Oryzias latipes: one gene and its partners. The protein of the gene in region 1 purifies or fractionates together with the protein of each later gene. This does not show direct contact. Links are inferred from orthologs where the notes say so. Each region holds a gene or a part of one and is shown in the gene's direction. Other genes may lie near its edges.

Evidence for each region.
Region 2: the proteins of mepce (region 1) and snrpd3 purify together in Homo sapiens (affinity purification with mass spectrometry; 3 studies listed by BioGRID and IntAct, with this or other methods). This does not show direct contact. The link is inferred for Oryzias latipes from reciprocal best matches to the Homo sapiens genes MEPCE and SNRPD3.
Region 3: the proteins of mepce (region 1) and ccnt1 purify together in Homo sapiens (affinity purification with mass spectrometry; 3 studies listed by BioGRID and IntAct, with this or other methods). This does not show direct contact. The link is inferred for Oryzias latipes from reciprocal best matches to the Homo sapiens genes MEPCE and CCNT1.
Region 4: the proteins of mepce (region 1) and snrpf purify together in Homo sapiens (affinity purification with mass spectrometry; 4 studies listed by BioGRID and IntAct, counting the BioPlex papers as one, with this or other methods). This does not show direct contact. The link is inferred for Oryzias latipes from reciprocal best matches to the Homo sapiens genes MEPCE and SNRPF.
Region 5: the proteins of mepce (region 1) and snrpg purify together in Homo sapiens (affinity purification with mass spectrometry; 3 studies listed by BioGRID and IntAct, counting the BioPlex papers as one, with this or other methods). This does not show direct contact. The link is inferred for Oryzias latipes from reciprocal best matches to the Homo sapiens genes MEPCE and SNRPG.
Region 6: the proteins of mepce (region 1) and ybx1 purify together in Homo sapiens (affinity purification with mass spectrometry; 3 studies listed by BioGRID and IntAct, with this or other methods). This does not show direct contact. The link is inferred for Oryzias latipes from reciprocal best matches to the Homo sapiens genes MEPCE and YBX1.
Region 7: the proteins of mepce (region 1) and lsm3 purify together in Homo sapiens (affinity purification with mass spectrometry; 3 studies listed by BioGRID and IntAct, with this or other methods). This does not show direct contact. The link is inferred for Oryzias latipes from reciprocal best matches to the Homo sapiens genes MEPCE and LSM3.

Annotation. Positions count from the first base shown.
Region 1 is NC_019872.2:14,589,097-14,592,596, reverse strand, and holds part of mepce (7SK snRNA methylphosphate capping enzyme), read left to right. Parts: coding exon 1-1,043; intron 1,044-3,500. UniProt on the Homo sapiens protein: S-adenosyl-L-methionine-dependent methyltransferase that adds a methylphosphate cap at the 5'-end of 7SK snRNA (7SK RNA), leading to stabilize it.
Region 2 is NC_019870.2:16,128,909-16,132,875, reverse strand, and holds the start of snrpd3 (small nuclear ribonucleoprotein Sm D3), read left to right. Parts: upstream 1-1,167; 5' UTR 1,168-1,297; intron 1,298-2,084; 5' UTR 2,085-2,105; coding exon 2,106-2,231; intron 2,232-3,683; coding exon 3,684-3,876; intron 3,877-3,967. UniProt on the Homo sapiens protein: Plays a role in pre-mRNA splicing as a core component of the spliceosomal U1, U2, U4 and U5 small nuclear ribonucleoproteins (snRNPs), the building blocks of the spliceosome.
Region 3 is NC_019865.2:25,916,051-25,920,145, forward strand, and holds the start of ccnt1 (cyclin-T1), read left to right. Parts: upstream 1-1,295; 5' UTR 1,296-1,329; coding exon 1,330-1,502; intron 1,503-3,234; coding exon 3,235-3,316; intron 3,317-3,404; coding exon 3,405-3,533; intron 3,534-4,086; coding exon 4,087-4,095. UniProt on the Homo sapiens protein: Regulatory subunit of the cyclin-dependent kinase pair (CDK9/cyclin-T1) complex, also called positive transcription elongation factor B (P-TEFb), which facilitates the transition from abortive to productive elongation by phosphorylating the CTD (C-terminal domain) of the large subunit of RNA polymerase II (RNA Pol II).
Region 4 is NC_019881.2:20,375,325-20,379,528, reverse strand, and holds the start of snrpf (small nuclear ribonucleoprotein F), read left to right. Parts: upstream 1-1,404; 5' UTR 1,405-1,539; coding exon 1,540-1,542; intron 1,543-2,138; coding exon 2,139-2,264; intron 2,265-4,200; coding exon 4,201-4,204. UniProt on the Homo sapiens protein: Plays a role in pre-mRNA splicing as a core component of the spliceosomal U1, U2, U4 and U5 small nuclear ribonucleoproteins (snRNPs), the building blocks of the spliceosome.
Region 5 is NC_019865.2:4,866,768-4,870,541, reverse strand, and holds snrpg (small nuclear ribonucleoprotein G), read left to right. Parts: upstream 1-1,313; 5' UTR 1,314-1,427; coding exon 1,428-1,459; intron 1,460-1,602; coding exon 1,603-1,625; intron 1,626-1,779; coding exon 1,780-1,904; intron 1,905-3,115; coding exon 3,116-3,166; 3' UTR 3,167-3,274; downstream 3,275-3,774. Other genes in the region: zinc finger protein Xfin, read left to right, coding at 1-65. UniProt on the Homo sapiens protein: Plays a role in pre-mRNA splicing as a core component of the spliceosomal U1, U2, U4 and U5 small nuclear ribonucleoproteins (snRNPs), the building blocks of the spliceosome.
Region 6 is NC_019865.2:7,798,494-7,802,502, forward strand, and holds the start of ybx1 (nuclease-sensitive element-binding protein 1), read left to right. Parts: upstream 1-1,209; 5' UTR 1,210-1,345; coding exon 1,346-1,457; intron 1,458-2,999; coding exon 3,000-3,063; intron 3,064-3,289; coding exon 3,290-3,323; intron 3,324-3,412; coding exon 3,413-3,502; intron 3,503-3,571; coding exon 3,572-3,853; intron 3,854-4,009. UniProt on the Homo sapiens protein: DNA- and RNA-binding protein involved in various processes, such as translational repression, RNA stabilization, mRNA splicing, DNA repair and transcription regulation.
Region 7 is NC_019863.2:18,333,618-18,337,719, forward strand, and holds the start of lsm3 (U6 snRNA-associated Sm-like protein LSm3), read left to right. Parts: upstream 1-1,302; 5' UTR 1,303-1,385; coding exon 1,386-1,406; intron 1,407-4,102. UniProt on the Homo sapiens protein: Plays a role in pre-mRNA splicing as component of the U4/U6-U5 tri-snRNP complex that is involved in spliceosome assembly, and as component of the precatalytic spliceosome (spliceosome B complex).

The DNA of each region.
Region 1 (3,500 bases):
AAATGAGCTCCTCCACACAACTTTTAGGTACGCAAGGCTCTTGTTCGGTTCTCGATTCTTCTAAAGAGTCCATGAGTTTCTCTAGTGTCACGGCAGATTCCCACGAGAGCACAGCTGAGAACGCAGCAAGCGGCAAAGATGAGACGCTGTTTGTACCTGTCGAAGAATATACCTGCCCCCTGTCGGGGGGGCCAAGCCACCACGCCGGAAGACGCAGACGAAGGCGCAACTCAGGCAAAATTGATCCTCCTGTCACCCATTCTACTCCCAGCGGTAAATTAGCACCAAATGACAAAAGTTGTGGTACAGGCGGAGCACAAAATTATTTTCACACACCAAAAATTGGTCCCAAAACTGGAGGGGGGTCACGTTCGTACCAGCAACCTCACAGTCAGGCAAAAGGACACCAAAAGAAGTTCCAGTATGGAAACTACAATAAATATTATGGTTATCGCAACCCGGGCAACAGTGAAGACCCGCGTGTTCGTGTATTGCGTCCGGAGTGGTTTGAAGGTAAAGATGTGCTGGACTTGGGGTGCAATTCAGGTCACTTAACACTCTACATTGCCAAAATGCTGCGGCCTGCACGCATATTGGGGCTCGATATAGATGGTGGGTTGATCCATGCAGCTCGTAAAAACATTAGGCATTATCTGTCTGAGCTGCAAACCCAGGAGGCCAGACAAGCTGCTAAACAGGAAGAAAGAAATGACAAGGATGTCAGCACGGGGACAGACGAGAAGCACAGGGACACCGAGCGCAGAGAGGAGCACTGCAAAGCAGAGAGAGGACAAAGAGGCACTGCGGAGGCTGAGAGTGACAATGGCTTCTGTCACACAGATGATGTAGGGACTCCAAGGCAAGATGACAAAACAGGAGAGACAGGACAAGGAGACTGTGAAAAGCAAAGCGCTGATCAGTCAGTGAGCTGCTCCTTTCCCGTGTCTCTACGGATCTCCAGAGGACCCATCGCTGCACCTCCTTTGACCGAAACACCCACCCCTCAGCCCGGGCAATTTCCTGCCAATGTCTCCTTTATCAAGGTACGTTGATGTTGGGCAATTCCATTTTAATCTTCGTAGTTTTCACGTGTTTCTAATGTCTTAGCTATGTCAAAAAATCACAGAAATGTATTATTCTGCTTCCAGACTTCAAAAGAGAATTTGCACATTCTTCTTGTCTACATGTCAGTGTATATAATGAGGATCTTTGTTTGTATGAATGTCCTCCATTGTCTTCATAGCTGTTGGAATCTTGGCTTTTTTTTTTTTTGTTCGTGTTAATCAACTAACAGGAGCATGCTAAGTCAATTAGCAAGTCAGCACATATGTGGCTAATCTAATCTAGTTGTTATGGAAACATTAGTAGTAAAAAATAACGACTCATCTATTTGTACGGACAGTATTTTAGTTTCCTTAGAAGACAGCAGAAGTCAATACTTAATGAATATTTAACAGCATAAAATGCTGCTTCCACCAAAGTGCTGAGACCAGAGACTGGAGAGTCGGGCCTTCTTGTTCTCACCTGAGATCATTGTGAGGCTGCAGAGTGCCACAGTCTCTGCCATCTTGGATGCAGTGTTTAAGCTGCTGCTCACATCAGTCTTTTAACTCCTTTTACTACAAGTCAGATGCTCATGCAAGTACTTGAACTGCTGTTTTGTGGTAATCCGAGAGAGCATTTTGCTCCACCGTTTAAAGAAAAAGAGCATGCAGAAATAACACAGACACTGCAGTAAAGGCATGCACCATTATAACTAGACAACTCAGTCCCTCCTGCAGTCAGTCTGAAGTTACGTTCACACCACCCTCGCCGAGGCGCGTTCAAGCTTCCAATGAAGAGTCTATGTCAGGGGTGTCAAACTCATTTTCACTGAGGGCCACATCAGCATGGCGGCTGTCCTCAAAGCACCAGATATAACTTATACATGTAACTAAATGTAATGAAAAATAAATGTAACTACTCCTTAATGTTAAATAACTCATTATTTATTTATTTATTTAAACTTTTTAAATTGACAATAACAGTTTCATAGAAAACATATGTTTGTTTGTTATTCTGGCATAAATCCTTTTAAATTTGATTCTGACAGGTTAGGTTATATGAACAGTGTTTAAGTCCTAATGTATAGTTGGTCAATCAGATATTTTAAGTCCAATTCCCCCTAGATATGAATAAATACACACCAATTTGTATTTTTTATTCTAAGAAATTAAAAACTTTTATGCTCTCGCGGGCCACATAAAATGATATGGCGGGCCACATTTGGCCCCCGGACCTTGAGTTTGACACATGTGGTCTTTGTAAACACGCGTAAACGCTTGTTTCAGGCTTCCGGGTTCAAAACTCTTGCAGTCTCACATAACTGCACAAGTTTCTACAACCACTTTAAGGCTTCATGTACATAAGGTGTGGTATGGAGAGAAATTAGACTCAGTCGGATTTTTGCGTGCGTAATTCTTGATTTGTGCATAAATTAGGATTTGTGTATGCATATTCTTGCTTTGTGCGTGCGTAAATTAGGATTTGTGCACAAATTTGGATTTGTGCGTGATTTGTTACTCACATAATACGTTTTGTGTATAAGTTAAAAAAATATAAAATGAAAAAAATACAAAATGCAATTTACGTATGCACAAATTAAGATTACAACAGCTTGAAACTACTTACACACACACATCTTTAAAAAACACGCACGAATCCCTTGTTACGCACACACGAAGCCAAAGTTACGCACGGATCTACCGTGAGACTGTTTTGACGTCTCACAAATCCGTCCGTAAGTGCTGCGTTTAAATACCAGTGGAATGCTCGGTCATTAGAATTTTCCTATCAGCCTTCCCTTCTAAACGTATCCAGACAATGACTCGATCAATACATGAAGACAGTAGATGTTAGTGTTGAACATAGAGGCTACTTACTTCGGGGCGCTGACCACCGAGATGGGCCGCCGTTCTTCCCGTGACTCTCTCAGTTTGACTGCCTTTGATTTTTCCGGAAGAAAATAAACAGTGCCCCCTACTGGTCGTTCCTGTTACGCATTTTGTATCAATTCGGAGTCTCGGAGAATAATATACTTTTAATATATATATTAGCCTTTAAAAGTGAACGTCATATTCTCAGGTAATAATTTTTATTTTCCTTTAAAGTTTTTTTAAGCCCTGCTACACCCACTGAAGGAAATACGTGAAGAAGGGAAGGCTGATAGGAAAATTCTAATGACCGAGCATTCCACTGGTATTTAAACGCAGCACTTACGGACGAATTTGTGAGACGTCAAAACAGTCTCACGGTAGATCCGTGCGTAACTTTGGCTTTGTGTGTGCGTAACAAGGGATTCGTGCGTGTTTTTTAAAGATGTGTTTGTGTGTAAGTAGTTCCGAGCTGTTGTAATCTTAATTTGTGCATACGTAAATTGCATTTTGTATTTTTTTCATTTTACATTTTTTTAACTTATACACAAAACGTATTATGTGAGTAACAAATCACGCACAAATCCA
Region 2 (3,967 bases), on another chromosome or scaffold:
GACAACCCAGATCAACATCTAAGTGACATGATTCAAAGGCATCAGTGTAAACAGGCCTGTTAGCATCCACCCAAAACAAGTGCTTGTTTGATCTCTGCAAATGTCACTGCTCATGGCTGGACTGGAACTACGTTCAGAGTCAGGTTAGCATGCATTAAACGCCTGAAACCCTCATGGACACGTAAAGTAGATACACATGACCACACGCTGCACAGGTACAGGTGTTTACAGAGTAGCCTGTCTGCTGACGCCAGTCAATGACCCTGTTGCAATGGAAATCAAATGATGGTTCATTTGGTGATGTCTTTTATTATCCCATTATGCTTTGTCTTTCCTCATTAGAAACCTCTTCCAGCGTGAGAAAGCCCCGCATTAAGCAATGTTTATGCGTCTCACTGAAGTGGTAAAAAAGACTAGTCCACATAAATAAACACGCAAGGGTATGTATATGATACGTAAAGTCTGTTCATTCAAAAACTATGTAGAGTAAATGTTTATAGCTCTCTGTGGTCGATGAAAAAAATCCATTTGAATTGATTGAGTCGTTTCATTTTCATAATCTCTTCTTGCTGGGATGTTTTGACAAGCATATGTGCCAGCTATACACGTGTTCGGGATTCAAATCTTTCACATAAAACAAATAAGGAAAAGAGAAAAAACATAGTGAGGAGGATTATGGAAAAAAAACATGCACCACTGCAAGGAATCAATAAAATATTTTTACAAATATCTATCCAGTGTTCCATTATAGTTGATTTTTTCCAATGAGTAATCATCAAATTAAATTCATGTTAATCTAATTCAGGACAAATAAACAAGTCATTTTTTATTGTGTACATTTTTAATCTGTTAACGTTTCATGATTTCTATTTTTGTTTGAAAGTCCAATGTCCTATAATGATTGGTATTCCTGGACCTCTCTGAGGCCTTTTGATGAAAATTAGTTTTTATTTACTATTACTACTACTTCCAATACTACTAAAAAAGAATAATAATAGTACAAAAAATAATAACACTTATTATTATTATTGTTGTTGTTGTTTCTCCTTAACCATCTTTCTGGTAACTGGCTGACTCAAGTGAGTCTACATTCTGTTTGACCTAACACACCTGGTTTAGGTAATCAGAATCAACTACATGTCCCATAATGCACGGCGAAAAGCGCCACAGGAAACAAACGCTTTGTTGGTGCATTGTGGGTAAGCGGAAAAAAGGCTCAAACGCCAAGCTCAACGACTAGCCCACGTTGCTGAGCCGCTAAAAAGAACAACAATTCAAGAATTCAAAGGGAGTTGAAGTAAGACTTTAAACCCTAGCTACTAAAGCTAGCAAGTATTATATTGTGGTTGGTATTTAGCTGTGAATGTGATTCAGAATTATCGCTTTTTGTCTACATTGCCTCCCATTTGCTAAGTTTCGAATATGTCCATCGCTCCATCCATGCCTGATATTTAGCTTGTGTCTAAAATAATTTGCACGTTTGAGTCCCAACAATGTTGGGTGTGAAGCATTAACGTTAAATATATTGTGGTGGTTTACTTCCCACAGTTTTTAATTAATGTTTTGTTTCGCTTGAGGCCAGTAGTTGGTGGCTAGTTAGCTAACGTGGCTAGCTAAGCTAGCCATTAGCGTTACTACGTTTTAAAAGTAATCCCGAACATTTACCTGATTAAACTGTGTAATCCAAAACTGAAGAGTTTTCTGCAGCACTTGATTTCTCTACGTAGAAATAATACCGTCTTGATAAACAGTACAAGAAATAAATCACTAACGAGGTAGCTTAGCTAATGATAATGGAAACATTGTTATACTTAAGTGCCTTTTTTGTACGTTTTTTTTTGTGGGTGTAAATTACCTTATTTACAGCACAAAACAAGTCTTAAGTATGTTCTAACAGTAAATATTACTTCCAAGCCAGACACATGCAAACATAATAATCATAAAATTGGATGAATGAATTGCATGTTGTAGACTTTCAGTAGCCTTCTGTAAACAAAGACAATACCGTACGTCAGGTTTTGTGATAATACTGTATGTTTCAGTGCCCTTTACCGTATGTTTTGTCTTTTTTTTTAATTTAATAGCCTAGAAAGACCGTTTCCAAAATGTCCATTGGCGTACCAATCAAGGTCCTGCATGAAGCAGAGGGACACATTGTGACCTGTGAAACCAACACTGGAGAGGTTTACAGGGGCAAACTGATCGAGGCTGAAGACAACATGAACTGCCAGGTTTGTATGGAGTAACGTCCCCCCCCCAAAAAAAAAAAGCATGCCGTAAATTTCTATTTAGAGTTCAACTCACTGTACCACACTTGAGAAGAACATTTTAAATGTGTAAAGAACACAAGAATGTTTTTTTAATGGACATTTTATTGTTGGCTGCCCCCCCCCCCTTTTATTTCACATACTTTTTGGAAACAAAAATGCCAAAGGTATTTTAATGCAGTTTATTGCACCAACTCTTATTTAGACTTGCACATTTGTTTTTTTTGCTTTCACAGGAATAAGTCTAGAATCTACCAATTATAACAAGCAGGTGATGTAGAACTATTTGAGTAGGTTTGTTGAGAATGTAGTATTTTAGTAAAACAATTGCGGTGAGACAAACTCATGTTATACTTTCTTTCTTTCTTTTTTTTTTTTAAAAAACAGTTGTTCAACATGTTTGTAGCGAAAGACAAATCGGTTACTCCTCTTCGAAGAAAAATCTCTCCCGGTTTCTTTGTCCCTCAAAATCTCAGCCAACCACACGTGTGTAACGTATGATTGATTGATGTAGTGACTTAATTACTCAATGAGATCAATGGTGCTTTTACAGTCAACAAAACATACTCCCTTTTACTAATATGCATCAGGTCAGTGACCTGTAGGGAAAAACAAAAACCATAAATGATTTATCATTACCGTTGGAAGTAAATAGAAACACAGCACTAAGAAACCAAACGGCCCTGTGTGGAAAAAGGAAATTATGTTGGATTATTTTAAAGTTTTGGGACAGGTTGCCTTTATGACCTTTGTTTTTTTGTTGTTTTTTTTGGGTCTCTAGTTTTGGTTGCACATCTGTAACAAACAAATCTGGAATAACAATTTTATTTTATTTTGTAAATTTAAGTTGTGTTCTTTCTATTAACTGACCCAATTCACCCCCCCCCCCTAAAAAAATCTGTATAGTTATCTGGTCATATATGCACATTTGTCCTTGAAATATTTAAAGCCATTTTTCTTAAAGTATTGAGTACTGTAACTAAATATATTTCCCAAACATCCTGTCAATGCTGATAGTCTTTTCAAGCTTCATTAGTGCAGTAAAAGTTTAATAGACTCCAAATCTGTTTATTTCATTTAAAAGCAGAAATTTTGGTGGATAAAGCTCAGTGTGTCTTAAAAGTACTCTAAAGATAAGTGTGAAGGCTTTAACAAAACGCTAAATATTCTAAAACGTATATTCTGTTAATAATTGTAGATTTCTTATTAATCAAATGACAAATCAAAAAGGTTGTTAGAAATTATTTTAAGGGATTAAATGAAGTATCTACAAATGTGTTTTCAAATAGAGAACTGCATTGCCAAGTTTAACAGATAACTTAAAATGTTAACCTGCATTCCATTGAACACTGTAAACGTGTATCAAGCCATTTTACGAATCTAAGACCGGAACCATTTATTTCTATGTCCCAACAGATGTCCAACATCACAGTAACCTATCGTGACGGGCGGGTTGCCCAGCTGGAACAAGTGTACATTCGTGGCAGCAAGATCCGCTTTCTGATCTTACCAGACATGTTAAAGAACGCTCCAATGTTAAAGAGTATGAAGAACAAGAACCAGGGTTCTGGAGCAGGAAGAGGCAAAGCGGCCATTCTGAAAGCACAAGGTGAGTGGTTCCTAACCAATGCTGATAAATGGTGTGTCCACTTTTCCTTATTCTTGGTACACCCTGCTTCCTGAATGCTGTTTTTTTTTTT
Region 3 (4,095 bases), on another chromosome or scaffold:
TTTCATCCATCCATCCATCCATCCATCCATCCAACATTTCATCCATCCATCTATCCATCCATCCATCTATCCATCCATCCATCCATCTATCCATCCATCCATCCATCCATCCATCCATCCATCCATCCATCCATCCATCCATCCATCCATCCATCCATCCATCCATCCATCCATCCATCCATCCATCCATCCATCCATCCATCCATCCATCCATCCATCCATCCATCCATCCATCCATCCATCCATCCATCCATCCATCTATCTATCTATCTATCTATCTATCTATCTATCTATCTATCTATCTATCTATCTATCTATCTATCTATCTATCTATCTATCTATCTATCTATCTATCTATCTATCTATCTATCTATCTATCTATCTATCTATCTATCCATCATTCCGTCCATCCAACCATCCATCCATCATTTCATCCATCCATCCATCCATCCATCATTCCATCTTATTCTGCCCAGGTTGCGGTCAGTCAGCACCAAGGCCTTCCCAGCGCAGCTGAGAGACATCGTTTCTCCACCGTGTCCTGTTCTTCCCTGGGCCCACCGCCCAGTGGGACATGCCCAGAACGCCTCACCAGGGAGGGGCTCTGGAGGCATCCAGACCAGATGGCTGAGCCGCCTCATCTGGCTCTGCTTGATCTAGGGGAGACGTGGATCTACTCCGAGCTCTCTCCAGGTGATCAAGCTTCTCACCCTATCTCTACAAGACCGCCCAGCCACCCGATGGAGGAAGCTCATGTATTCAGGACCTCGTTCCTTCAGTCATCCCCCAGAGCTCATGACCACAGGTGAGTTTTGGAACAAATATTGATCAGTAGATTGAGAAAGTCAGAAAGTGAAGCTCCAATGGTCCACCTCCAGCACATGTCCATGTTTGTTAAATCATGCCAGAGGCTGATCCAGAGGAGCACTAGGAGAACAAAAATGCTGAGTTTTATCCCCAAGAACACCATACTAACTGTGAGGCATGGTGGTGGAAACGTTATGCTTTGGGGCTGGTTTTCTGCGAAGTGGACAAGAAGACTTATTAAGGAAAGATAGATTTGAGTGAAAACCTCCTTCAATCAGTTGCACTGTGAATGAAACGGGGCTGTATCTTTATGGAGTAATATTTATACCACCACACTGCAAAAAAGAGAAGAAAAAGTATCCAAAAAATCCAACACAGAATCTGTGAAGGAAATGCAAAAACCCATATTGCCTAGTAACACATTGGTTTTGGCGACATCTGTCGGTTACCAGAGGAACAGCGCCCTCTGTGACGTATGTTCCTGTGACGCGCAGAAATTTTAAACTCTCGTCCTTCTTAGTAATGGCGGCTTCGTTTCGTTCTCTCCCTGCAAGCAATAATAATAAATGGTACTTCACCAGGCAGGAGATCGACAACAACCCCTCTCGGCGAGCTGGACTAGACCCCGACAAGGAGCTGTCGTACAGGCAACAGGCAGCGAACCTGATCCAGGACATGGGACAGCGGCTCAATGTGTATCTTTTGTCGTGCTGCGTCGCACGTAGCTAGCATTAGCATGCTAGCCAGCAAAGTGTAACCTGCTCGGCCAAGAGCGTGGCCGGTATTTCTTGTGTTGTTCGACGGGTTCTTGTTTATTTGTTAGTATCGTGTGTTGTTGACTAAATGGCGGTTGTTTTCCGTCGCTGTTTCTACGTTAACATCTCCCTGCGGCGTCTCAGGCTAGCCGGGTCCACCAAGGCCTGTAGCTCGACAGGCCTGTCCGGGACGTTAGCTTCACTAGCCGCAAATGACTAGGAAGAAGTTTTCTGAACAGATGAATATATTCTGCTAAAAAATAAACAGCACAGTTATAGTATAAATTGAAATTGAATCAACTTTTTAGGAAAATTGTTTATTTGTAGGCTTGAAAAGCCTCTTCAGAGGCTGTGAGTGAGGGATTGAGGTTATACTACTGTACTGCAACCTGGCTTTCGTTGTTTGTGGTGTGGTGGTAAAAATCATGATGGGCTATTTTTATTATCCTCATCATGGACGCTTCATATGTTCTGGGGGGCCTCACGGTGAAATTTAAAGGAGGCCCTCCAACCAAAGGGTATCCTAAGTTATGGAAAGCTCATAAAACACGTGAATGTTGCTAAAGAATTCCCAGATTTAACTGTATTTCTTAGTTTTTTTGTTTATATGAATGTAACTAAGCTAAACGTTTTATTTTCAAATTAAGAGGCATGCTCAGACTGCGATCCAGAAGAGCTCTGAATAGGACACACAAAGCTCCCAAGAGCTAGTAATCTACTGTAATCTGCACCACCTACTTGTTTATTTCTTTAACCGCCACGACTGGCTAATTAGATGCACACCATTTAAGAAGAAAGGGAGGGGCTTTTATATCCTAAGCATGTTTGAATTCCACACCACTTCCACGGAAAGTGGCTTGGGAGAATCTGTCAAAGGTTGGAGATGGGGGGCCAGTGGGCACCAAATCATTTTACCGAGACATTTGATTGGTCAGTTTATAAATTGTGATTAAGAAAAAAAGACCAGGAAATAAATTTGCAAGAACCTGTAAAAAAATATATATAGCAGAGCAAGAACTGTTATTCTGAGTGACAAGCAGTGTGACTGAGTAATAGCCATCTATTTCTCTATAAAAGTCTATGGGAATTTTGGCTTCTTGGAGCCAGGGGGTACTTCCTGTTTGGAACATAAGGGAGGAGGGGTCAGTATGTCTAGTTTGTATTTACAGTTAATGTCTGCAACGTGTGCTATGCAGCCTATTCCAATTAAAAAAAGTCCGTGTAAATCTCGGACTTGGTAGTTGGGTATGGATGGCGTCACTTTTGATTCACGGTTGTACCGTCCATTTGATGATTTTAAAAGAGAAATTATCAGAGTTTGTGCCCAGCCAGAATTCTATGAACCAAGTCTTTCATGTCGGAATAGAGCTGTGAAAGAAAAAGCCTGGAGCAAGTTTTGTGAGGTTTTCCCCACTTGGACATTTCGCACCAAACTTCTAGTAGGTGGCAGACATGTGCTAACAAATGGTAATAAAGAGAGAGAAGAAGCCCCTCCCTACTTGGGCAGTGCGAAGACCATATGCTGCGATTACACTCAAGAATGTCCATCGCGTGTCCGGTGTGTCCGCAGCTTTAAGGATACACGTTCTGTCTGTGTCACTTTAGCAAAATTCTCTCCGGTGGCGTTTTAGGATTGCACAGTTTTTCCAATGGTCCTTAACTGGCGTGACAGCTCCCAACTTACCATTAACACAGCCATCGTGTACATGCATCGCTTCTACATGATCCAGTCCTTCACCCGATTTCACCGAAATGTAAGTGTTTTCATGTCCAAAACCATTTTGTTTTAAAGATTTATTTACCGGTGGAAATAAAAGTCACAACTTATCACCTCCTCCTCAGGTGATTTCTCCTGCCGCACTTTTCCTCGCTGCAAAGGTTGAAGAGCAGCCCAGGAAGCTGGAACATGTCATTAAAGTGGCCCATGCGTGTCTCAATCCTCAGGAGCCGTCGCCCGATGTGCGCAGCGATGTAAGTGTCTCACGGCGGTGAGATGAGTACTCGTCTGTCCTGCATTTCAAAAAAAACTGCAAAAGCGCTGCTTGGCTTGTAAATCTGAACTGCTCTCCTGTGTACTGCATTTCATTGAGCTGTCTTCTCAGTTCTTGTGTCTTAATTGTGTGCATCACTTAATCCCAGTTTTTCTTTTCTAGAAAGAACAATGTTTGCCATGGTTCTGTGATAAGAGGAGGGGCGGGGGGAGTTTCTTAACTCTTTGGTTTCTTTTTCATGTTAACTTTAAACAACCACTTGACCGACTTGTTGACGTTTTTTTTTTTTGAGACGCTGCTCCCTATGGGTTGAGAGAGCAAGGGTCAAAATGCGTCTGATTGTGTAGGTTTCAGTCACCCAGGTGATGTGATGTCTATCGGTTGTAAAACAGGAGTGTCTGCGCTCGCTTTGTGGACTTTTACATGAATGGACGAACATTTCTAGGACCACAGAGTGAGCTGCTCAGACACTCTTGTTTGACAACAGTTTGCAGGCGTCTGGGAGAGTAACATGCCTGTCCTCTCAACCTCAGGCTTACCTG
Region 4 (4,204 bases), on another chromosome or scaffold:
TTGGGGCAGTAACCCCCAAGCTGGAGGAGTGGTTACAACAGATACCTGGAAAGACCTCAGACCTCTCAGTACAGAAAAGCGCAGTGCTAGGAACAGCTAAGATACTGCGCAGGACCCTCAAGCTCCCGGGCCTCTGGTAGAGGACCCGAGCTTGGAGGAGAAAGCACCCACGGAGGGTGAGAGGGGCGTTTTTTTAAATTTTATATATATATATATATAGATATATAGGGAGCTGGTTTAGCTCGTGCTGGTTTGCGGCGCCTTCCGTCCGTGAAACCAGGGTTCGACTCCGGGCTGCTCCCTGTTCCCTTCTCTACTTCTGTGCCGGTCCCAAGCCCGGTTGCTTTGAGAAGGTTGCGTCAGGAAGGGCATCCGGCGTAAAACATTGCCAAGTTTACCATGCGACTCGTTCGCTGTGGCGACCCCTGATGGGAAAAGCCAAAAGGGAAACCAACCCTATCTATCTATCTATCTATCTATCTATCTATCTATCTATCTATCTATCTATCTATCTATCTATCTATCTATCTATCTATCTATCTATCTATCTATCTATCTATCTATCTATCTATCTATCTATCTATCTATCTATCTATCTATCTATCTATCTATCTATCTATCTATCTATCTATCTATCTATCTATCTATCTATCTATCTATCTATCTATCTATCTATCTATCTATCTATCTATCTATCTATCTATCTATCTATCTATCTATCTTCTGAAGATGAGACCCACCAACTCACACATTGATTCTCGCACTGTTTTCCCAACAATCTATATGTCATAAACACTTCTCAGCTTACTTACTTAGCCATTGCCTCCTTGGTAACCGCCTCGCACCATGATTCCTCTGTAGCAAACGTGAAATCTACCTGGCGTTGATACAGAGTGTGAGTGCCTGTATGGTGAGATGTCATCCACAGTTTTGGCATCTTCTCCAGCTCCAGGCTCAAATGAAACATTTACAAAACTAAAATCATTTTCTTACATTAAAGCTCGGTAATGCAAGCCTTTCAAATAAACAGCAGAATGTGAGAGTTCGTCAGCACATGTTGTCAGCAGCCTGGAGCTGATGACAACAATTCTATAATTCCATTGGGTTTTATATTATCTGATTATAAATCATTTTTAATTTCACTTATTTATTTATTTTTTGACATTTGGTCTTGTCTCATTGTTATAAAATAGTTTATTTATGTTTTTTTTCATAGTTTGTTTATTTTTTGTTGTTTACTAATTGTGTGAATGATGTTGTGTCATTTTGTAAACTGATTTTATTTATGATTATTTTATTATGACTTTATAAAGCAGATGCACTGGAATGTGATCAGAATATAGTCCGAGTCTTTTTGTTGCACTAATACATCCAGAACGCCAGGGGGCGACGTGAGGCGCGGCGAAAAGCTCGATGCCACTTCCGTTTCCTGTCGGCGGCAAAGCGTGCTTCTAGTTTGTGAAGCTAAAACGTTTTTGTGACGAAGACATAATAAACTTCTAATTTACTGTTAATCGGGTCTAAACTTAATCGAGCAAAATGGTGAGTAACTCTTCAAATATGTAATTTCACACGGCCTTTGGGTTTATTGAAGTTTGTTAAAACAAAGAATTTAAGAGAGTTAGCTCGTTTATGCTAGCCATGTTAGCATCCCATTCATAACTGGTTTACACAGCTCGTAGGGGAAAACAAACTTACACTAAAAACAAAACTTTAAAAATGAAACGGTTAGATATTCAAGTGAGCTTTTACTAAAGTGTTGTTTGTTTTGGGTAACGTGTTGCCGTATCAGAAAATGAACGTCCGTCGGAACAACACAAAACTATGACGTTCCTCTGCAGGTAGTAGTGTGGTCGAACATTATACAACAGATTAATAGAAGTATATAGGTCATTTGAATAATTAAACTGCTCCAAAACCGAATTTATGTACTGTTTCCCAATTATTCAATTTATTTTTTTAATGCAGTCCAGATTGGTTCTTCAGTCGCTCCTGTTGATGATTGGTGGTGTAAAGAAATCAGACGTGGAGACTGTCCATAACATGAATAACCCGCATACTTAAAGTTCTAAATATCTCATAGGGAAAAGCGTCATGTTTGCAGACTTGATGTAAGGTTTCAATCCCCTCTGCCGCAGAGTTTGCCCCTCAACCCAAAGCCTTTCCTGAACGGCCTGACAGGGAAACCAGTGATGGTGAAGCTGAAGTGGGGAATGGAGTACAAAGGCTACCTGGTGTCTGTGGACGGATACATGAACATGCAGGTAAAAGCAACTCTAGCTTCATTCACAACTATATCAGGGTTTATTCTGGGATTTTAAAATGCAGCTGCAACACAGAGGCAAACTACTCAAAAGTAAATGCAATTATTTATTCAATCTATTTTAAATTAGTCAAGAGTGTTTTTATCGTACTCAGTTTGTTATTATTATACATGTTTCTAAATGACCAACAGTGTTTTCAGTCTTCTATTCTGAGCATTAACTTAGACGACTGTTGGTGGAAAACCAATTAGCAGCTTTTCTTGTACCAGTTTACAATTTTTTTCAAAAATTCTAACTATCCTATCATATAACATTTTAATAAAAAAAAGTCGTTTAAAAAAAGGTCAAATGGCTCCTGTCGCATAGTGACAGCCTCTGCAAAGATGACGGAGGCTTTTTTGAGTTTGCTAAACGATCCTGTTCAGCAATTATTGATCAGGAACTTTCCGCTTCATCCAAGAGTCAAAAACAAACTCAATACAGTTTCTAAATGAAAACACTTCTGGTTTTTCACAATAAGATTATTCTGGGCACAAATAACAAAACATTTCTCTGAACCAATGAAGTCATTCAAACCAAATCATAAATGTTGTCTCACATTGTTATTTAAACAGTAAATAAGTCAAAACAACTCTAAACACTTATTTTTTTTAAGTATTTATCTGTGATGCTCATTTTTTGATCAGGGTTATCCGTAGTAATCACAACTAAAAATGTTCCAAATTTAGCTTTTTTGTCCTTCACTGAGCAATTAAGTCTGTAAGTCAGTCGCTGCAGCGGCCTGATACTGCATGAAAGTTGGCTAGCATTTCTAAATCTGGAACAACTTTTCTTACCAAAACATATCAAACCATTTTGTTCTATTGTTTAGATAGCAGCACATGTAGAATAAAAGAAATCTGTTTAAAAAATTGAGATTTCAGACCCTTAAAGCTCTCACACCAAACCGGTGTTGCTTCTCCATATTTTACATAATTCTTTGTATATTTAGATTTCATGAAATTTGACCTTTGCTAAGAAACTCTTGTTGTTTAGATGAAGGTTGTTGTTTAACTTTGTCATCTTTTATTATGAGATTTTAAAAGAAATACATTTGTTGTGTTTTACTCAGAGGAAATTACCATAAACATTTTACTTGTTTAGTTTGTAGAAAAAAAGTGATAAACGGCAGGAAAAGTACATGATTGTTGCAGAAATCCTCAGATGGAATGGGTTTTTACCAAACTGTGACACGCCACCATAACAGTAACATCTTTTCTTACGCTTTTCTAAGCTCTTCAGAAAAAAGTCTTATATCTGGACTTGTTTTTAAAATGTTTAATTTCCTGAAATTCCAAAGTAGATTCTTTGTCGAGTGAATTTTCTCAGGTTAAATATTAGTTAAAAAATGACAGAAAAATATAAGTATTTAGATGAAAACTTGGGTGCTGGAATTAAAGGTTAATCTTTTAACATTTGTAGAAAAGAACAGAAAATTTGCATTTGGTTATTTGGGAAACAGCAAAGAAATCCATAAGATCTTTTTTTTTTTTAATATTCTTGTGGCATCTTTCTCATGATGGAGAACACGTATGAAGAATGAATCAGGAGCAGAAGACAAAATGCCTTTTGATTAAGATCGTATTTGTGACGTTGAAAATATGGTGGGCGGGCAACAAGCTCCCTGCTCCGAGGGAAAGGGGGGCGGGGTTGCTCTGTACCAACAGTTTCGCCACAACAACAAACTGGGTAATCATAATTAGAACCACTGGGAAGGCTTTGACACTAGATCTTAAGATGATCAGAGCTGATCTTTAAACTAAACGTTATGAGTAGTTTACTGTTTAATCCAGCAGAGGGCGCCACAGAATGAACGTAAAATCTAACAAATCTTTAATTTGGTAGAAAAATGAAGAGAAGGTTTGAGGTTTTGACTTTTCTGTATGATGTCTGACAGCTGG
Region 5 (3,774 bases), on another chromosome or scaffold:
TGCGGGTCCGGGTGGAGGAGGACCGAGAGTCGGAGGCGCTGGCACAGCAGGCCAGCAAAGCCTGATGGGAAACAGAATGTGTCCAACAGCTGCCTTTTTTTTTTTGCTTTATCATCTTCAGGGTTGAAGAGAACATTTGATTTTTTGTTTACTCATCAAAGTGCGATGCCTTCTGCTTTCTGTTTGTTAATAAAGTTGTTACAATTTGAATCAACGCCTGGCAGATTCAAAAGCTATTTTCCCATCAAAACTTAAACTTCCTGGAGAGGGAAAGCACTGATTAACATCATCATTTATGTCTTTAATACACTGAATGTGTTTTGTCAAATTGTGCTGTTTTCTTCCAAATAATCAGCAAATATATAATTATTAATTCTTACATTTTATTTTTTGTCAGGACAGCTTTCCATGAGCACATCACCATGGTAACTTGCTAACAACATCCTACTGAGGATGAATGAAGCTGTTTTTCTTTTTTCTTTAAAATTGCTTGTAAAAGTAAAAATCATAGTTTATCAAATTTATCATAGTTTCAAAATGTTCCCATAACCTCTTAAAGTTAAGGTAGCTCAGGTCATGTTAGTGAGGAAATATGAAGTAATGGATGCTAACATCCTCTTGAATGGCTGGCTGTTCTCTTTGGTAGATTTTGGGTTGAATCTCAGCCATTTGTTTTTTTAGTGAGTGCGAATTTATGAGATTTCCATTTTTCTGAGGGTCTAGCATGAATTCCTATAAACCTTTGCTTCATAAAAAACGTTTTTGATGTCTTTATTGATAGCAGGAAACGTGGATTGTATCTCCTTTCTATGCAAACAAAAGCAGCCGCCTCAAAGTTTTGTTTCTCTAAAGTTATTTTCAGCGGCTCTTTTCAGTGTCACTGTGATGATTTAAAGTTTGAAAAATGTTTTGGGAATTTTTCACAATCTTCCTTTGTAAAGGAAAAAGTAAAACAAACTGTCGCATTTTTTAAATGTATGTTTGATTTTATTTTTGCTTTTGATCATTACAGCTCAGATGTTCAACCAAAAAAAAATAAAACTAATCAGCTGTGCTTTTGCACAAATAAAAATCTATTAATACAATGAGTTTTTTAAGGTTTTCTATATATATATATATATATATATATATATATATATATATATATATATATATATATATATATATATATATATATATATATATAAAATATATCACACACTTCATGTGCATGTATTTTTATAGTTGTTTTGGTCATTTTCTAACTGCAAATAGTATTATTTGCCTTTGGCTGATCCCTTTTTAAACCAGATTACTCCTCCCAGCCGCACGAGGGCGCAGCACAGCAAAGGTCACAGGGTTTTACTTCCGGTCTCCCGGTCCACACGCGTTTCCTACGCGGTTTTGTGAATTGAAACACGACTTTGTTTCGTTAAAATACAGACACCATGAGCAAAGCGCATCCACCAGAGCTAAAGAAGTAAGTTTGCAAGTTTTTGAAAGATGATAGGCCTGATAGCTTCGGTCTTTTTCGCGAGATTGTAGTATGTTTCCATGTTAGCCACCGTTAGCCGGAACAGCTAGGAATTGAAGCTAAATCTAAATAATGTTTTTGTCTTTCAGATTCATGGACAAAAAGCTTTCCCGTGAGTTAAAACTCTCGTTTCATTATTTAATACATATTTCAAAATTACACTATATTTCTATTCATTCGCCGGCTTTTTCTTGTGAAATTAAATTCGCTTTTAGCTAAGCTAGCAGCCTTCATGTTCATCAGTTTGCTCTTTTTGTTTTCTTCAGTGAAGCTGAATGGAGGCAGACACGTCCAGGGCATCCTGCGAGGGTTCGACCCCTTCATGAACCTGGTGATGGACGACTGTCTGGAGATGGGCCCCGGGGGACAGCAGAACACCATCGGGATGGTGGTCAGTGTCCGAGCAGAACTGTGAAGCATGAGGGAATAGTTTAATTCAATGTTTTACCCCACCCGTAATAGCAGGACGAATAGGTTCAATTAAAGATCATACTCTTTATTTATTTTTATCTTTATTAGCAATTCCATCTTTTGACAATTTGAACCAATTTGAGTGCTGTCTACATAGATTTATAAAAACATGCACAACTGTTTTCCTAACAAACCAGACAATCCTATAAAGAAATATGAACCAATAAAATATGTTAGGGGTCTGCTAGTTAGTAACAAAAATGTAAATGTTCTAAAAATCATCTTTTTGATAAAGAAAATTTTCTACCTCACAAATACACTTTTTTTGTTTTAATTACTTTTTTTTTAACTCCTTTTAATTCACTACATTTTGAATAAAGAAATACGCAGAAAAGCAATTTTAAGCATATTTTTTTTAAATATATGTCCTCATCAGAAAAATGCCACAAGAACATGTCAAAGTAAATAAATTAAAGCAATCCCAGTTGGTCATTTAGTGGTTTTGATCATTTCCGGCAACTAATTTTTAATTTTTTCTACAAAAACAAATTTTGTTTCGAAGTTTATTCAAAATTCTTTAGTCAAAGAACCTATTCTATCCACTTTCTCTTGTAAATATAACATTATATTGATAAGACAGACTTCCTCGTTTGTTTTCCAGGCATCTGTATTCTAGTTGCTACTGGTTTTCTAGATCGGGAAGCTGCAGATTCTGCTTGATGAAATCCACCTGATCCACGTGACTAGCTGCAAATAAAGCAGGGTTACTGGAAAACATTTCCACATTTTTATGTGTAGCCAAAAGTTCATTACTACTTAAAATAAATACATCCAGACCAACAGGGGAGCCTCAATGCCTACTGAAAATCTCTCTTAAATATATTATACTGCCCCCCCCCCCCCCCCCCCCCCCCCCCAATACTCCAGCTTTTCCAAAGATGTCTAATTAGTTTATCTGAAACAAAACTGACCTGTCTTTACGGAAGAACAAATAACAATTGCCTGTTCCAGTGAATATCTGTGAAACCAAACGTTGGCAGGTTCGTGGTTTTTCCTGATGTGACAGCCTCAGGAAAGGGTTTAGTAGTTTTTCCCAAACTAGAACATTTCTCTTATTCAACACACAATTGTGTAAAAATAAATGTGTAAACGTGAAAAGATCTGATCTGTTTTCCTTTTGTCTTCCCGAAGGTCATCCGAGGAAACAGCATCATCATGTTGGAGGCTTTGGAGCGAGTATGAGCAGAGCACAGCGGCGCCTCCTGTTTTCTCATTCCATTGTAGTTCATTCACAATGAAAGTCTGTTGGTTTTGAGATGTTTGTTTGTTAATAAACTATTTTTCTTTTTATCCGTGCATTTGTTTGGTTTTACGAAATGTTACTGTATGTGTTCTTTCCTGTAGATGCAGCAAGAATTTAGTGTTTTTGTAATGGAGGATGAGCTGCTAAACAAAAAAAGAATATCTTAAATGTTAGGGTTAGTCTTATCTTAAGGAATTCGAAAGCTTTTTTTATAGCTTAGCTGTTAAAAAGCTATAATGGCTAAACAATGTTGGGAATGCTGGTGATGAAGACATAAATGCTGAACTATTTTAATAATTTGATAGACCTAAAGTCAGCTGAATATTTAAGATATGCGTAATTTCCATTCATGAGCTGGCAAACTTGTTATAAACTAGCAGGCAAGTATTTGTTCATAAAATATTAAAAAGTTGGATTCAGTTTGTTTATTCTTGAGCTCTATCAAGTTTAAAAGTTTCCACGTTGAAAGGAAAAAAATTTAAGGTATTTTAAAATTAAAAACATTAGCTGCTTGACACTAAAACAAAGGGTTACCAATTTTTCTAAA
Region 6 (4,009 bases), on another chromosome or scaffold:
GTGGGTTCAGAAACCTGTCAAAGGTTTCTTTCTAGATCTCTACAAAGTCTGGCCAAATGCAGCCCTCCTGAAAGCCTCTTCTAGCCTGCTGGTACCTTTTATAAAAATAAATGTGCTCCCAGGAAACTGTGTATGATTTCTTGATTATGATTGCCTACTTTATAAACCATTTTAAACCTATGGCAACACTATGATGTGACCCTTTTGCAATACCTTTTAGCTCATTTCTAAAATGTCGACTGTAAATTTAACAAATGTTGACAATTGGGGGTCGCTGCTTTCAGGACAAGTAGAAATTTGTGTATTTTTTTCAGTAAGATACTAAACATGCAAGAGGCTGGATGTTTTCAAGAAATTCAATATCAAGAGGGACTACAAGACAAGACATCCCAACTATGCCAAGCTAACTAGGAAAGAATGGTGCATGGTTTTCACATGTGAAATTCACTGTCATTTTGTTAAAGATTTATTAAGCTCTTCTTTTGTTCTATGTGTAGAAAATACAATTAATATGCAATAAGCATTTCCCTTAAACAGTTCATGTGCATTTAATGTTATAAGGGTTCAAAGAATGCAGGTTGAATGGTTGGTCCTCACAAATGTTCACCTCACAAAATCTAATTCTCTTTGCAAAAAGTCAAATCTAAAAATTTGCAGATTGGATCTTTTGTATTTTGGTTATCAAGTTTGGTTTTTGATGTTTAATCATCACTATTTACAGGTAACAACCATTCATTTTAAAAGTAAAAATAAAAAAGCAATATTGTGGATGTTTTTTTAAATTTACAATATATTCTGATTCTTTTGTGGGAGTCAAACTTTTTGAAATTTTACATAAATTGTTAGCCTCCAGCAATATTTAAAAGTAGGCTAATATTTCCTAATAATGCCATAAAAATGTTGTTTAACTACGGTTTTAAAAGGGGTTTACGTGGATCAACACTAGCTTTATGCGTCTTTTTTTTTAGTTTTATGCATCTGACACATGATTACAATGGGGCGGTGAAAACTGACAGGTACGGTACCTTTAACCAACCGTTCGTGAAAACGCGTCGCTTCAACTAGACTGACAGTAGTCTAGCCAATCAGAGGACGCCTTTTTTCTGTGACGCATTCAGTCAATAATTCCAGCCAGTGAAAAGCTCGAATGGGCGGGGCCACAACCAAGAACATTCCCCAACACAACTACTGATTCTGCCCAGTTCGATCGGCAACGGGAGCGGAAAGAGGAAAGCTGAGAGCCCGAAGGCAGTAGCCCCCACCACCGCCGGCCCACGTTACCATCTAGCACCGGGAAAAATAGCAGAGAGCCGCCGCCGGCAGAAGCCATTACCAACCAGTAACTATGAGCAGCGAGGCCGAGACACAACAACAACCACCGCAGCCTGCTGCCGATGATGCGGAAAGCCCATCCAGCCCGGCAGCTGCAGCTTCCGCGGGGGATAAGAAGGTCATCGGTAAGACTGCCGACTCCACTTAGCTAACTAGATGCTAAACGTGGTTTATGTTGCTGTAAACGAGACAGAAACAGCCGTTGAATTATGTTAATGTAAAATGACCGTTACGATCAACTTTATTAAGTAGTTGGACGTTAAACCGTACGTCGAATTGTGATACCAACTGTCAATATAATTATACATTTTAAAAACTGTCAGTTGGGAACGGTTATTCATTAATAGCGTATCATTCTCATTAACTATGAGATGTCACAAGTTTAGGAAAAATCCACATCTTAGAAATGTAGTAAATAACCACTTAATCCATGATTTTCTGTCTTGGTGGGAAAACATTTGCGAAAAAGAGACGCATGCATCCAAACGGCCGTCACATGGATGATCGTAGGAGTAATTTATGTCAGATCCAGCATGTTTACTACCAGACGTTGCAGACCTTTATCTCTCACCGTTAACCGCCAAAAGTACGAACAAAACCCGAAAAAATGACGAATAAATGTTTTAAACTTGGAAATACCCTGCGTTAGTTCACACTAACAAGTTCACCGGCAACTGACGCTAGCTGCTTACTATCCCTTTGTTCGCACAAGTGTCGAATCCCTGTATTCTCTGTCAAAGCTTAAAGGTGGTTGTTTTCAAGTTTATTTTGTAACTATTAGATATATTCAATAATAAACGCTTTGGGATTTGTATTCAAACCGTCCTAAGCTTTAACTCGATTTTTTTTTTACATTTTCGGTGAGGCCTAATTATTTCACGATAGCTTTCCAGTTGCTAACGATGCTAATGTTAGCCTAGCCAGCTAGCTGGCTGGCTATTTACATGGCTGAAAAGGCCACCCAAAATGTCCGCCGTTACACGATCCGTTTATACGTTACAGTTCTATTCTAGCTCGGTTTAGGTACTAAAAGCGCTTGCTTAAGTAGTTTCGAAGTAACATCTGTAAGATGTTGATGGGTTTATTACGTTGGTTTCCGCTTTTTGGCTATACTCCAACCACATGGTTGTAACTCTTAGCTACACGGCTAAGCTAAGAAGCCAACTCGGCTTGTTTTTCGGTCTGTCCGTGTGCGACCCTACCACGTGTGAACGCTCACGTCGTGAACTGGGCGTCTTAAAATGGGGCAGTAGGTCTTTAATGTCCGAGTTCTCTAAATGCAGTTGCTAAACGCGAGGTTACTTGTTTTGAAGTTTGACGTGTCGTAAGCTCTGTTCCCCGTGTTATCCGCATTCCTTCCACACATTTGCAGTCAATGTAATTGGACTGTTTTCTACCATGGCCGGAGCTTCACACCGGGAGCAGCTGGCGCCAGGCTCTCCTAAGCATCAGCATCTATAATAAGCACGACAGTTGGAAGTTATTTTTAACGTCCACACTATGGCTAGTTTTTTCCTGCACATATCTTATTATGTGCGATGCTTTGACTGTTCCCAATCTATTATCATATTTTCAAAATTTCATTACTGCTATTCTAAAATTACCTTTGCAGCTTAGAGAAGTAATATTGACACTTGATAACTGAGTTGCTCTGTTTTTCATTGCAGCAACAAAAGTCTTGGGTACAGTCAAGTGGTTCAACGTCAGGAATGGATATGGTTTCATCAATAGGTAAATGACCACCTCCAGCGTTCCCAATCCTATTATGATTATTGCTTTGCTAACGTGGCTGACCTGATTATTTTTTCTAGTGGTCTGCATGCACACTGTAACCTGCAAGACTTCATTAATCCTTGCACTTGTTGGCTTAGTTGCAATCTGTCTTCAGAGGTGTGTTGTCTTAGTAAGTCATGTGTGGTATAACTGAATCTTTTTATTTTTTTCTCTTTTTGTTCAGGAATGACACAAAAGAGGATGTTTTTGTACACCAGGTGACCTATTATTTTCCAAACCTTTTGGAAACTTAAAACATTTTTTTTTTATTTCGACTAATTCACTTTTCAATTGTTGATGATTTCAGACAGCCATAAAGAAGAACAACCCAAGGAAGTATCTTCGCAGTGTTGGGGACGGAGAGACTGTGGAGTTTGATGTAGTTGAGGGAGAGAAGGTAATGTTTTGGGAAGAATTTGGTTATGTTTGCAGGCATGTTGTCAATTTTAAACTTATCTGTTAACAGGGTGCAGAGGCAGCAAATGTCACTGGCCCTGGAGGGGTGGCTGTCCAGGGAAGCAAATACGCTGCTGACAGGAACCGCTACAGGCGTTACCCACGCAGAAGGGGGCCCCCTCGTGGAGGAGAATACCCAGAGAACTACCCAAGTGATGGAGAAGGCGAGCCTGGCAACGGAGTGCGTGACAAAGGAAACAGAGACGGGGGAGAAAGCGCCCCTGAGGGAGAATCGCAGCCACAGCAGCGCAGACCCACTTACCCCAGCAGACGACGCTACCCACCATACTTTGTACGTAGACATTATGGTCGTGGACCCCCGTACACCAATGCACCACGCGGAGAAATGACTGTGGTACGCGGTCACCAGGCTGCTATCCAGAAGTAGGCAACCAGTTGTACCATGACAGTCGAGACACTTGCTCTTCTCCCAACATGCTCCTTGGTA
Region 7 (4,102 bases), on another chromosome or scaffold:
CAGGATCTCTTCCATCACAAAGCCATGATGTAGCTGAGGGTGGAATGGGCAGTACCACTGCTCTGATCTGCCTCCCCTCCCACTGACAAATCCAGTATGAAGAACTGGATCGTCCTGAGAAGAGAGGAGGCGCACACCTGTAACCCTACAAACACAACGCGGAGAATAGCAGCCTCACAGGACCAGAGGCTGTGTATGACATCACAAACAGAACGTCTGCAACCCATTTAGTTACATTAACCAGTCTAAACTAGTGATGTTCAATAAATATAGTTTTTTCCCCAAAATAAAATAATGACGCAATAAATCACAACCGCTGCATCATTTTATCTTTACTTAAATAGCATTTTGCTTTTTATTTTCCAACACTTGGTTGGTATCCTGTATACAAGAAATTGTTATTTTTAATAAAAAAAATAATAATTGAAAAGCAATTTATTTCGTTTTTCTGCTTTTTAAGTCCACCTATTATAATTTTAGACTGTTATTAAAACGATTTCTTATCTTTAAATGCAAGACTTTGAAAAGAGTAATCAATGAACATAAAATAGCCTTTTTTGGTCTGTTAGTTTCAATTAATAAATCGATTAATTATTTAGTGTAATCATTAAAAATAAATATTTGAATAAACTGCAGATTACATTTTAGGAATATATTCTCTCTTAAAAGAATTTTAACGGTTTTCTCACTAACGGAAAGCTTCATTATGTGTAACTATTTACATTTCATTTCTCGTTTACATTAACATTTCGCATACGGAATATTTCTAAACAGACCCGTTAGACACTGAATTCCCAATAACAGCTTTACTACCACTCAAAACGCTCTGGAATATTAGTGTAGACAGGACAAATACCTCAAAATGAACAGATATTTATGAATTAATTTACCTTCTCGCTGCTCTGCGCGGATGACACGACAGTGTCCTGTGAGGACAGAAAGCTCTGGAAAACGCTAAAGGACGGTACTGGATAACGTTGCCAGGTTTGAACATACACGCAACGCGTCGAGAGAAAGGTGAATTTCTTTTCTTTATAGTTTAGTCTTTTCAGTTGTTTCAATTTAAAAGTGGCAGGGATGCAACAAGGAGATGTTTGTGTTGTATTTAAATTTTAGGTAAGGACTATGTATGGATTTACACATACTTTAAATTTAGTCTTTTAAGGATGGATGTTGATACCATAAGTTTTAATAATAAACATTTCACATTCTCAAAGTACGCATAGATATATATTGTAAACTAATTATTTGTATAAAATTCAACTTTGTTGAACTGGAAATCGAGGGATAATTCGAAACGCACGTGTGTGTTGCCGTTTGAAATCTTAATTTCACCGGACCTGGCAACCTGCGTACCGGAATCGACGCGCGCATGCTCGAACAGTATGGCGGACGAAGCTGAGCAGGTTAGCGGTTCTTTCGCTAATTATATGTTTAACCTTACAACGAACGAACAGAAGCCCACTTTGCTTCTAAAAGTGCAGACTGCGCTGCACGCTGCATTATTTTTAAAGTGCTTTAAGGTTATTACAGGAACGTTTTTGACCTGTTTGGGGCCGTGGAAGCGGCTAACCGAGTTAGCCGAATTATTAGCCTTGGTGTTCCTGTGTTTCAATTGAACGCAAATGTTTGGTTTGAAACACAGTTCATTGCTTTAGTGCTAACCAGGCAGCTAAATAGTTTATACAGGAAGGAAAGTTTGTGTAAAATGTGTGGGGAAAACAACAGCTGTAGCTCCAGCCGTCGAGGGCATGCATTCTGCTGTGTTCATTAAACGGCCTTCTTCTGATTCTGGTTACCTCAGGTGTGTTTTGCTAATCAACAGCAGGCAGACTAGGACACCTGCCCTCGAGGACTGAAACTTTACATTTGAGGTTTCTACTCTCTGAAACGCTTGGCGTTTCTGGCTGCCGGCCGCTCTGGGAGGGGGGGGGGCGCCTACCGCGGCCGGCTGGGGGGCCGGTCGCTCGGGGGAGCCTTCTCCCCCGGTTGTGCCCATCCGCCCGCTCCTCCCCGCTCTCACCCAAACAAATATTGCACACAGGCACATAGGGCCCCGGGATCTGGATGGGAGGGGTATGCTGGCGGGGCTCACTGGGGATGCCCCTCTCTGGGTTCTCGTTGGCACCCGCCCTCCTCCCCGCTTTTTACTTGCATATTAGACACTCTGATTCATCTAGGGCCTTGTGGAGAGGGTCTGGTGGAGGGGGGCACGGTGAAACATCCGTGCTCACCTTTCGCTGGCCCCCCCACAATTTTAACTTCCTCTGTAGACACACACACTGCATGCTAGCAGCACACACACAGCAAATACACACCACTCACAGAGGGACTCCGGAGTGGGGGGCTTTGCGGCTTGGCAGCGGTGGAGCCCCCCACACTGGTGACCTCCTATTTTACCTGCAGCACACACACAGCACTCCCACACCTCCATACATGGGTGGGGTCGGGGGGGGGGGGCGGCCGGTCTTCACCCGCCTGGTCCTCTCAGGGCGGCCAGGCTTATGGGTGTCCTGTCGGCTGCGGGAGGGGTCGGGCATGCGGCGCTGGGGGTTGGCCGGCTGGGGGGGGGGGGGGGGGGGGGGGGTTACTGCTTGGCGGCGGGGGTAGGGAGGGTAACCAGATGATTGTGAGTATGTGTGTGTGAGTGCATGGGTAGGACCGACCTGGGGGCTGGCTCGCTGGGACCCTCTGGGGCTTTCCCTCCCAATCACAGAGAGGGGAGGGCACTGAGAGGGTTGGGGAGGGGGGGTCAGATATTATGGCGGGGGGGGGGTTGTAGTGCGTCGGGTTTTAGGGGGGTGGCTGTGGCTGCGGGTGCGTGGCGATCCCTGGGTTGCTAGGGTCGCGTGCCTGGGCTGGCTTGCGGGGACGGGGCGCTGGTCGGGTGGTGGCCGGCTCATGGGTTCCGGGGCCCTGGCTTCGTCCCTGGCCTTTGTCTCGGTGTCCGGCGCCCGGTGGCCCCCATGGCTGCCGCCTGGTACGGCTAAGCGCTCCTGTCTTGTGGCCTGGGGGCCGGACACTGGGTTCGCTTGTGCCTCTGGGCATTGGGGGGGCCCCTGTAGGGGGGCCCTCTCTGTGCCTGGCTGGTGGGGTGGGCGGTCCCCTCCTCCTCCCCTCCCGGGCTGCCTGGGTCCGGATGCTGGGGGGGCTTCTGGCCTGGGGGGCTCTCCTCCCCTCTCCTGGTCTGGCTGGTCTGGCTGGGTAGGATCTGGCTCCCTTTATGAACACACGGTTCACGTCGGCAGCATGCATGTATCTCCACCCCCACGTGCACGTGCACACTGCCACACTGCTCCCTGTCTGCTTCATCCCTCCTCCTTACCTACAGTGTATTGATGGACAGTTTTTTTTCCGCTCATCTTAGTGTCAGATTTTGACCTTTGATGTAACATTCGTCTTTCCAGCAGATCTGGTATAATTGTTACAGCTTAAATTAATAACTTAGTCAAATCAGTGCTTGTATCCCCCACCTTTTCACCTTTCTTCCTTTTACTCTCTTCCACCCTCCCCTCACATTCTTCCCCTCTCCCTCCCCACACACACTAAATGTAACAAATAAATAAAAAATAATACGACAAAAAGGGGTTTATACAAATCTACACTCTAGTTTCTTGAAGCTATATAACCTCTTTTTGTGATAGTAAAACCTGTCCAACACAAAAAGCCTTCAGCTCTAATCTGTTTGCTCAGAAGTTGGACAGAACAAGTTAGAAAAAAAAAAAAAAAAAAAAAAGATTAGTAAGCAAACTGACTTTCATTCTAATCACAAGGTTTAGAATTTTTAGTCACCAAAATGTTTTTTTTTTGTCTTTTATTTTTATTTTTAATGCTATACTCTTAATTTAACAGTTCAAACACATTCACACAGGTTACCCAAACGCCAATACATGTAATCTGCCTTCACTTGTTTTGCTGAAACCCATGAGATTAGTAATGCTTTTATATTAAACATATATAAATGTCACAAAACAGTCGTTTTTGGTGTCTTAAATGTAGGTTGGATGTTTCAACATTTTATTTTGATTGCTGAATTAAAAACTGTGAATCACAAGTTGATTTCTGTGTTGTCAAATTGTGTTGAGATGGGAAAAAAAGTAGT